3 linked regions of the Oryctolagus cuniculus genome follow. The protein of the gene in region 3 purifies or fractionates together with the protein of the main gene of each other region. This does not show direct contact. Links are inferred from orthologs where the notes say so. Each region holds a gene or a part of one and is shown on either strand. Other genes may lie near its edges.

Evidence for each region. The genes of interacting proteins can lie anywhere in the genome.
Region 1: the proteins of STX12 (region 3) and SNAP47 purify together in Homo sapiens (co-immunoprecipitation; 3 studies listed by BioGRID and IntAct, counting the BioPlex papers as one, with this or other methods). This does not show direct contact. The link is inferred for Oryctolagus cuniculus from reciprocal best matches to the Homo sapiens genes STX12 and SNAP47.
Region 2: the proteins of STX12 (region 3) and VTI1B purify together in Homo sapiens (affinity purification with mass spectrometry; 3 studies listed by BioGRID and IntAct, counting the BioPlex papers as one, with this or other methods). This does not show direct contact. The link is inferred for Oryctolagus cuniculus from reciprocal best matches to the Homo sapiens genes STX12 and VTI1B.

Annotation. Positions count from the first base shown.
Region 1 is NC_091437.1:30,912-34,411, reverse strand, and holds part of SNAP47 (synaptosomal-associated protein 47), read right to left. Parts: intron 1,784-3,500; coding exon 1,238-1,783; intron 1-1,237. UniProt on the Homo sapiens protein: Plays a role in intracellular membrane fusion.
Region 2 is NC_091451.1:13,543,228-13,545,723, forward strand, and holds the end of VTI1B (vesicle transport through interaction with t-SNAREs homolog 1B), read right to left. Parts: intron 2,192-2,496; coding exon 2,130-2,191; intron 762-2,129; coding exon 665-761; coding exon of another isoform or gene 621-664; 3' UTR 501-620; downstream 1-500. UniProt on the Homo sapiens protein: V-SNARE that mediates vesicle transport pathways through interactions with t-SNAREs on the target membrane. These interactions are proposed to mediate aspects of the specificity of vesicle trafficking and to promote fusion of the lipid bilayers.
Region 3 is NC_091438.1:143,809,393-143,812,590, forward strand, and holds the end of STX12 (syntaxin-12), read right to left. Parts: intron 2,454-3,198; coding exon 2,371-2,453; intron 855-2,370; coding exon 720-854; 3' UTR 501-719; downstream 1-500. UniProt on the Homo sapiens protein: SNARE promoting fusion of transport vesicles with target membranes. Together with SNARE STX6, promotes movement of vesicles from endosomes to the cell membrane, and may therefore function in the endocytic recycling pathway.

The sequences.
Region 1 (3,500 bases), on a different chromosome or scaffold from region 3:
AGAGATGTTTCTGAAGAGAAAAACACATAATAAAACAGAGAAAAAGTATGCAGGAAAAAGCAGGCCCCCAAAAAGTGTGAAACAATGCCAGTGATAACATGCGGGAGGCATCATCCAGAAGAAAGATCAAGATGCCACTCAAGAGAAGCACTGGGGAAAAATTAATTCCTATAATGAAGTGTAACAGAAATAGAAGAGATATAAAACGCAAGATACACACAGTACCATGAAAAGAAAAAAAAGAGGCAACGTGAGAATAGAATAACATTACAAGAACAGTCCAGGTTGTCAGATGTAAAAAAAAAAAAAAAAAAAAAAAAAAGGGAGTCCCAGGAAGAACGAACTGTTTGAAATGAAGTAAAAGGGGCAGGCATTTGTTGTAGAGGTTAAGATGCCTCTTGAGACAACTGCATTCTAAATTAGTTGGAGTTCTGGCTACATCAGTTCCAATTCAGCTTGCTGCTAATGAGCACCCTGGGATACAGCACATGATTTCTCAAATACTTAGGTCTCTGCTCCCAATGTGAAAGACCTGGATTGACTTCCTGGCTATGGCTTGGCCCAGCTCTGGCTGTTGTGAGCATCTGAGGAGTGAACCAGCAGTTAGAGGATCTCCTTGTTTGACTCTCTCTCTCTGCCTTGCAAATAAAATGGAAATAAACAAAAATTCACCAAAACTCACTCTCCCAACCACAATGTGTGAGGCAAGTGTGTCCTGATCACCAAATAGGAGCTTCACTGACAGGAACACATCACTCACACAGCTCATGCCTGTGTCTCTCACCTTGTATACCACACATGGTGTGTACACATTACTCACACAGCTCACACCAGTGTCTCACTATGTGTGTGCCACATGCTGTGCCTTGCAAGTGTGTGTCTCTCACCATGTGTGTCCCACATGCTGTGCAATGCAGGTGTGTGTCCCTCATCACGTATGTCCCACATGCTTTGCAATGCAGGCGTGTGTCCTACCGTGTGTGTCCCACATGCTGTGCAATGCAAGTGCATGTGTCTCACCATGTGAGTCCCACATGCTGTGCAATGCAGGTGCGTGTCTCTCCCCAAGTGTGTCCCACATGCTGTGCCTTGCAGGTGCGTGTGTCTCACCATGTGTGTCCCACATGCTGTGCAATGCAGGTGTGTGTGTCTCTCAGTCTTGTTCTCAGAACATGTTTTGTACACCAAACATGCACCCTGCCCTGGCTGAGCCAGAGCAATTTCTTGGCTAGCCCACCTGTCAGCCACATCCAGGTCTGACTCCATCTTCTCCAGGCCCCTCATGACACTGCCCAGCTGCTCACCCTGGTGGTGAAGGACCTTCGCAGTATCTTCCAGACGCTTCTGGGACCTAGCCATCAATCCAGTGAGCTCCTTCCCCCGGGATGAGGGGGACAACACAGTGTTCATAGCAGCTCCTGGCTGGGATAGCAGCAGCTCCCTCCAGAAGTGCTCAATGATGGTGAAGACTACATTGCGACTGGGCCTCAAGGAGCTGAACCAGTGCTTGCCATGGTCCTTTTCCAGGATGGTGATGGAGCTGAAGATGAAATGTGAAGCCTCCTTCTTCACTTCAGTGATGCTGGAGAGGGGAAAGCCAACAAGAACCTCACCAGCTCTGTCCGCTGTGAACTTCAGTGAGAGCGACGTTAAGGACAGCTTCCCAGGGACCCATCGTTTCTCAAGGTCCAAGTAGTAGGAGCAGGGCCAGGCATGGATGCAGATGTCTCTGCTCATCTTTCCCTGGTGTGGTTGTGCCTCATGGAGGCTGCAGCCTCTGCCTCTGAGGAACAAGAGAGACGGGTTGGTAGGCAGGGGAAGCTGAACACAGAGCCCTAACTTTGGCTAGAGACACTCAGAAACCGACCACCATGACAGGCAGCCACAAAGGCAATTCAAGGCTCCGTGTATACTGACAAGAGACAACACCTCTAACTAGAGATGAGGGAGACAGTTGTGATCATAATAGAGACCCCACAGTCCCAGACTCATGCCTGTCTCCTCCATGGGAGACTTCAAACTCTCATCCCCAATACAAGACCCTTCACTTCTGTGCTCCTTGGAGTAAGCCCCCTTGGATCAGCATCCACGGAGGACATGCCTTGAAGTGGGAATTATTGGAGCCACTACCCTGGGTCCCAGGCCTCATTCCTTGGTCTTGACAGGTGGCTGTCAATCTCAGATCCTTCCCACAGACACAATCTTGTGGCTGTGATGTCTTTGTCACTGGAAAGTCATAAAGGTTTCTATTCACAGTGCCCTTCTGAAATTTCTATGCCATAAATCATATACATATATATAAATCATATACATATATAAATGTATATGTATATACACCTGGGTGTCACCATAAGTAGTACAGCATTTTCACATTTGTATTGACACCTATCAATGCATTATGAAAAAACCATGGCTGTCAGGTCTGCATTAACCTTGTATTACTTTTAGTCCAACCATCTCACAGATGAATATAGTTAATAGGATGAGGGCCTCAGACAAGGTTCAACCATGAGTTTACAGCACTGACTGGGCAGAAGCCAGGTGTGGTAATGCCTGGGCCTGTGGGATTCCAAGTCGACAGTGGTCTAGCTTTAATGGGGCATTTCTTTCAATTCTCCTTCTCTCTCTTCCCACCTCCCTCCCTCTTCCTGTGTGCCTCTGTTTCACTGGCTCTTTTACACACATACACACACACACACAAATTTACTGATGATATAACACCATTTATAACAGAGTAACTAGCATCATCCCTTAAAATACTGCAAAGTGTGGGTTTTGCACAAAATGGTTACAGGACACAGGGATTATTATGGGTCAGCTCACAGGCTTGTGAGCCCCTGCAAGGCACCATATGCTGTGTTGGGCAGAATGTAAGAAAGAAGCAACACTGGCACAGTCCCTGTCTTGCTGGGCTTGGAGTCAGCTGGAGTCCCATTCATTTTCTCACTGAGTTACACTCCCAGCGACCAGATTTTACAAGATCATTATTGTACTAGACACCACAGCAAGCAATACAAGGATGGGCAAGACACAAAAAGATGGACCCCACATTTTAAGAGACTATATCAAAATGAGATTTCTAGTGATACGGAAACTAAGTTCACCACATACCAAATGGTATAGGGACATGTTCTGAAAAAAATGCATCATTAGATGACTTTGTCCCTGTGTGAACAAAATCACAGCATGCCCTTACACGAACCCAGATGGTAGAGACCAATGCCCCCCATGCAGCATCTTGATGCAGTCAAGCGATGTGGTGACCCTGAGTTGTGTGAAGCTGTTGACAGTCTAACACAGAAGGCTGTCTTTTTTTTTTTTTTTTTTTTTTAAGATTTAGTATTCATTATCCGAAAGGCAGAGCTACAGAGAGGTACAGACAGAGACAGAGAGAGGTCTTCCATTCACTGGTTCACTCCCCAGATGGCCGGAGCTGTGCCGATCTGAAGCCAGGAGCTTCTTCCGGGTCTCCCATGTGGGTGCAGTGGCCCAAGGACTTG
Region 2 (2,496 bases), on a different chromosome or scaffold from region 3:
GCCCAGGCGCGATGACCCTCATGAGTGGCAGCTAGGGGACTTTCTGAGGTTCTGTCGCACTCTGCTCTCCCAGGGTTGCTGTCAGCACTGGACCTGGTTGAAGTCAATCCTCGGTTAGCTGCTTCAGACGAAGAGGCGAAGGCCACAGCTAGCCTGGCGGTGGATGTGATTGCTTCAAGTTTTGGTCAGACAAGGGAAGGAGGACACACCGTCTATGAGCAACTTCCTCCACCCAGCTCACCACACGAATCGGAAAATGCAGAGCGCGTGAGAATTTAGGAGACACTGCACTGACGGTCTTTCACAACGGGCATTCCAGAACCGCAGGCACTTGAGGGGACAGACTGACGGGGTTGTCTGGGTCAGCACTGCCTTAATGGGCACATCTGCGCATTCTCACAACGGTACAGGTGCCCCTCTGCATTTTGGTGACCAATAATCCTACTGCAAATGTATTTTTCCCAGTCCACAGGTATGAACATGTTATGGTACTATGTACATTTAAAGGGGTCATAAACAGCATTTATTACCTTGGTATATCACTCGTCTTGTCGCTGTTCTTCCCCCCCTCCTCCCACACTCCGGCTACACAGCATGTTCACAGCAGTAACATGCTTCATTCACAGGGTCAAAGTTCTGGTCCACACTCCTCCACTCAGAAAGTTCAATGCTTGTGAAAGAATTTGTAATAGATCAGGATTCCCAGGATCACCAGCTCCAGCAGGATGACAATGGAAAGTAGCAGCTTGTTGGTTATCACTCTAAGAAGAGAAGCCAGAGTGGAGTAGTCAGAATCCTCATAACCTTATTTCTTCCTATCTGAGTATTTTGGGGTTGTAAGGCCCATCGAGTTTCATCATGCAGTCACTTAGCACTAAGTACTTCGAAGGTTCTTTAATGAGTAGGCAACACCTCATGAGGCTTGTTAGCCATAACCTAGGGATAACTTGTGGTCATGAGGTAGACAGCGTTAACAAAATACAAGAATGTCTTTTTTTATATAAAAATTCTAGGAACTTGCCGGCGCCGCGGCTCACTAGGCTAATCCTCCGCCTAGCGGCGCCGGCACACCGGGTTCTAGTCCCGGTCGGGGCGCCGGATTCTGTCCCGGTTGCCCCTCTTCCAGGCCAGCTCTCTGCTGTGGCCCGGGAGTGCAGTGGAGGATGGCCCAGGTGCTTGGGCCCTGCACCTCATGGGAGACCAGGAAAAGCACCTGGCTCCTGGCTCCTGCCATCGGATCAGCGCGGTGTGCCGGCCGCAGCGCGCTGGCCGCGGCGGCCATTGGAGGGTGAACCAACGGCAAAGGAAGACCTTTCTCTCTGTCTCTCTCTCTCACTGTCCACTCTGCCTGTCCAAAAAAAAAAAAAAAAAATTCTAGGAACTTTAACTTAAAAATTCCTTTTCTGGCACTAGCATTATGGCATAATGGATTAAGCCACCACCTGCAATGCCAGAATCCCATATGGGTGCCCGGTGCTACTCCACTTCTGATCCAGCTCCTGGCCTGGGAGAGCAGTGGAAGATGGTCCAAGTGTTGGGCTCCTGCACCCACACTGGAGACTGGGAAGAAGCTCCTGGCCCAGCCCTTGCCATTTGTGGGGGGGTGAACCAGCGGATGGAGAATCTGTCTCTCCCTCTCAAAATCTTTTTTAAAAAAATTGCTTTCCTGTAGGGTTCTGTTTTAAAGTCTAGTTCTTGCTCATAAGGCAAAACTTTGAGAAAAGGGGCCAACTCTCATGAAGGGCAAGCAGAGCCAAAAACAAGGACTTAACAATAGCAACAAATGCTTTTCTAATGAAGCTGTCAAACATACAGAGCTGTTATTCCCAGGTGTCATCTTCTGTAAGGAACATAAACTGGGACTTGAGTCCCGTCAGCAGTCAACATGTACACTGCTCCAAGTGAGAGTGGATTACTTTTAACACGGGATCTTATACTGGGATAGCAGACTACCCAAGACCACAGCCCCTACTTTCTCATGAAGTGCTGGGAGGTACTGAGCAGAGGGGGACTACATGGCATCAAGTCCTGAGATGCTTTATTTGGGACCCTTTCAAGTAAGTTACTGTTTTAAGCTTTCTTGCTTGGAAGGTAAGAGTTAAATTGTTACTCCTTATTTTAAAACTTACTTTCTGGACATTGAACGGAGAATCTTTCGACTTTTGCTCAGGTTTTCACTTGTGTTTACCAGCTGAGAAGAGAAAATAGCAATTACTTCCTTTTCAAAAGTGCATGCTGTAGAACTGAATATTCAACTAAGGGTAGGCACTACAGGGTTTATGTTGAAAAATCCCACCCCCCAAAACAAAAGTAAATACACAGCATGACTGCCTCTGGATACTGGCAGGAAAACCTGGAAAGGACAAGCTGCTCTAGCGCTCATCAAGGAGATCCCAGTGTTGCTGGGGGATGGACTAAGCTAACCCCGTGCCTTGGCTCTTCAGAAGAGGAAGGCTTTGAATGTCCCCAGCCAGTGACTGATGCAACCTGTGAGCA
Region 3 (3,198 bases):
AAAAAGGTAAATTTTGTATACACATAAAAAGACAATATTACGAGTCTGTAGTGTTGCCTGTCAAAAAAGAATACCTAGAATGGAATTTTCAATAAACTTTTGGGATACAGGGCAATCAGAATACAAGAGAAAGCAAAATCCACATAAATTAATTCCTAATTGGAGAAACCAATAAAATGTATACATATATTGATAAATACTGTCTCCATGGGTCACTAATTCCAAGGACTAGTTAGTAGTTAGTTTCTAACTAAATTGTTACAGGACGTTCTGGTATGTGCACTCCTCTTGTGATCAGTTTGTTCTGGCAAGACTCCAACCAGCACTTGCCCTTGAAAACAGTTCAGCAGGAGAAGGCTTTGAGGCAACCACACTTCATTTCCCATACACTACCCAGAAAACAATTATCAAGACTGCAATAATCACAGACAGGACAAGCACCAGGATGCACATCTTCTTGCGAGATTTTTTCTGGGGAAAGAAATATGTGAAGAAGACACTCATGAAACAAAAGTTTTAATATCTAAGACTCCAAGAGTGCTTCATAAATCTGCCTCCTTGTAATACAAAATTAACTCTATGCATGCACAAATAGGCAGAGAACATTCACAAAATCTCAACAGTCATCAGCACTAGCACTAGGCAGCAGTGTAAGTTTTAATTCTAGGTCCTTAAATACAGTTTTGCAAAGGAGACATACCTATTATGATAGAAATTATTTATAAAAATAATGCTATTGGGGCTGGAGCTGTGGCGTAGCGGATAAAGGTGCTGCCTGCAGTGCCAGCATCCCATATGGGCGCTGGTTCAAGTCCCGGCTGCTCCACTTCCAATCCAGCTCCCTGCAAATGCACCTGGAAAACCAGCAGAAATGGCCCAAATGTTTAGGCCCCTGCACCCACGTGGGAGACCTGGAAGAAACTCATGGCTCCTGGCTTCAGATCAGCCCAGCTCCGGCCATTATGGCCATTTAGGGAGTGAACCAGCGGACAGAAGACTCATTCATTCATTCTCTCTCTCTTTCTGCCTCTGCCTCTCTGTAACTCTACATTTCAAATAAATAAATCTTTAAAGGGGGAGGGGACAATGTTGTGGCATAGCAGGTAAAGCTGCCACCTGCTGACACTGGCATCCCATATGGGTGCTGGTTTGAGTCCCCACTGATCCACTTCCAATCCAGCCCCCTGCTAATTTGCCTGGGAAGGCAGCAGAAGATGGCCCAAGTACTTGGACCCCTGCACCCACATTGGGAGACTTGTAAGAGGCTTCTGGCTTTTGGCTTCAGTTTCAGCCATTTGGAGAGTGAACAAATGGATGAAGAGTTCTCTCTCTGTGTCTCTCCCTGACACTCTGTAACTCTGCCTTTCAAACAGATAAATCTTGAAAAAATAATAATATTTGTCATATGTATTTTAGTAAGTTTATACCTATTATAAAATTTAATATGCATTGGGAAAAAAAAGGCAAGCAGAAAAATAATCACCCATAGATCAAACTGTTGATGTTTTGATTGTAACTCCTGATCTTTTATCTATGCATACTGTCATTTGCATACATACTGTATGATGTTTGATTTTTTCTCACTTAATGTTTTATATAAGCATCTTTGTTAATACAATTTTTTCATAAATATAACTAAATCCTCACATCATATAATACCAAGTGGATGTATATAAAATTATTCCTTACCATTAGACACTAAAGACATCATGTAGTTTATAAAGGTAAAATTATTATTGAACACAATTTCTTTAAGAACAGGTAGTCTAAGAACATGGAAAATGACTAAAACACGACTTCCAAAAAGCCATGAAAACCAAACTGAGAGGAAAGGAGAAGGACCTCACGTTCACGGTATTTTCACACTGAGATAGAGACCCAGATAAATCATAAAACCAGTTTCAACTAGTAAGTAGAACTTTACTTTGCAGGAACAGTTCCAGTATGACTAAGCTCTACTTATTCAGATATAAATAACAGTTGAAGTGGTCTGTGTCCATCTTCTGTGCCAACAGTCAACATAAATCCTGTGAAACCCTGCTTTAACTGTACTTCTTCCTATCCTAATGGAAGCACATCTCAGCTGATTAGGATGTAAGATTAGCCTTACACCATTTATATTCTAGGTTTCATGCTAGCTTATGGGGTTATTAGTTTTGCAGCTCTGAGGTTTCTGTATATGTTTATTCATGGTCTGATGACATTTTGTAGATCTCCCTGCAAAGGAAATACTTGGGACTGGACCTGCAAGTATGACTGCTTGTCTCCAGCTTCAGCCTAAGCAAAAAGCTGGGCTGTGCTCAGAGTCAGTGCACTGTGGTGGCCCATGAAGTCTGCAGTACAGTGACTTTCTTTGGTTCTTGCTTTTACCTGATAGTAAGCAGCTCGCTGTAACTGATCAGTTGCTCTTTCAACGTGCACCTCTGAACTTTCCACATTGGCTTCTATGCTGTCTGCAAAGAGAAGGATGATGCATATTTTAGCACACCCAGATGTGTCAAGGCTAAAAACTGAACCTACTTCTGATGTTATGGGTTCCTGTTTCATTACTATCCCAGTTAAGAAATCAGAAGTTACTACCTGGATAAGAATATAGCCCTATTCTTAGAAATAAACACTGAAGTATTTAGGGACAAGGGACTCATCCATAAATGCTTCAGGAAAAATTATGTATATATGAATACATTCTCTCTGTCTCTGTCTTGCTCTCACTTGTACGTGCATATGCCCGTGTGCACGCAAACACACACACACACACAGAGTACATCAAAAAGCAAATGACGGCCGGCGCCGCGGCTCACTAGGCTGATCCTCCGCCTTGCGGCGCTGGCACACCGGGTTCTAGTTCCGGTCAGGGCACCGGATTCTGTCCCGGTTGCCCCTCTTCCAGGCCAGCTCTCTGCTGTGGCCAGGGAGTGCAGTGGAGGATGGCCCAAGTGCTTGGGCCCTGCACCCCATGGGAGACCAGGAGAAGCACCTGGCTCCTGCCTTCGGATCAGCACGGTGCGCTGGCCGCAGCGCACCACCCGCGGCGGCCATTGGAGGGTGAACCAACGGCAAAAGGAAGACCTTTCTCTCTGTCTCTCTCTCTCACTGTCCACTCTGCCTGTCAAAAAAAAAAAAAAAAGCAAATGACATAGAATGTTAACAAAAAGTAAACCTAAGTAAAGGTTAAAAGGAGTTCCTTGCAGTATTTTT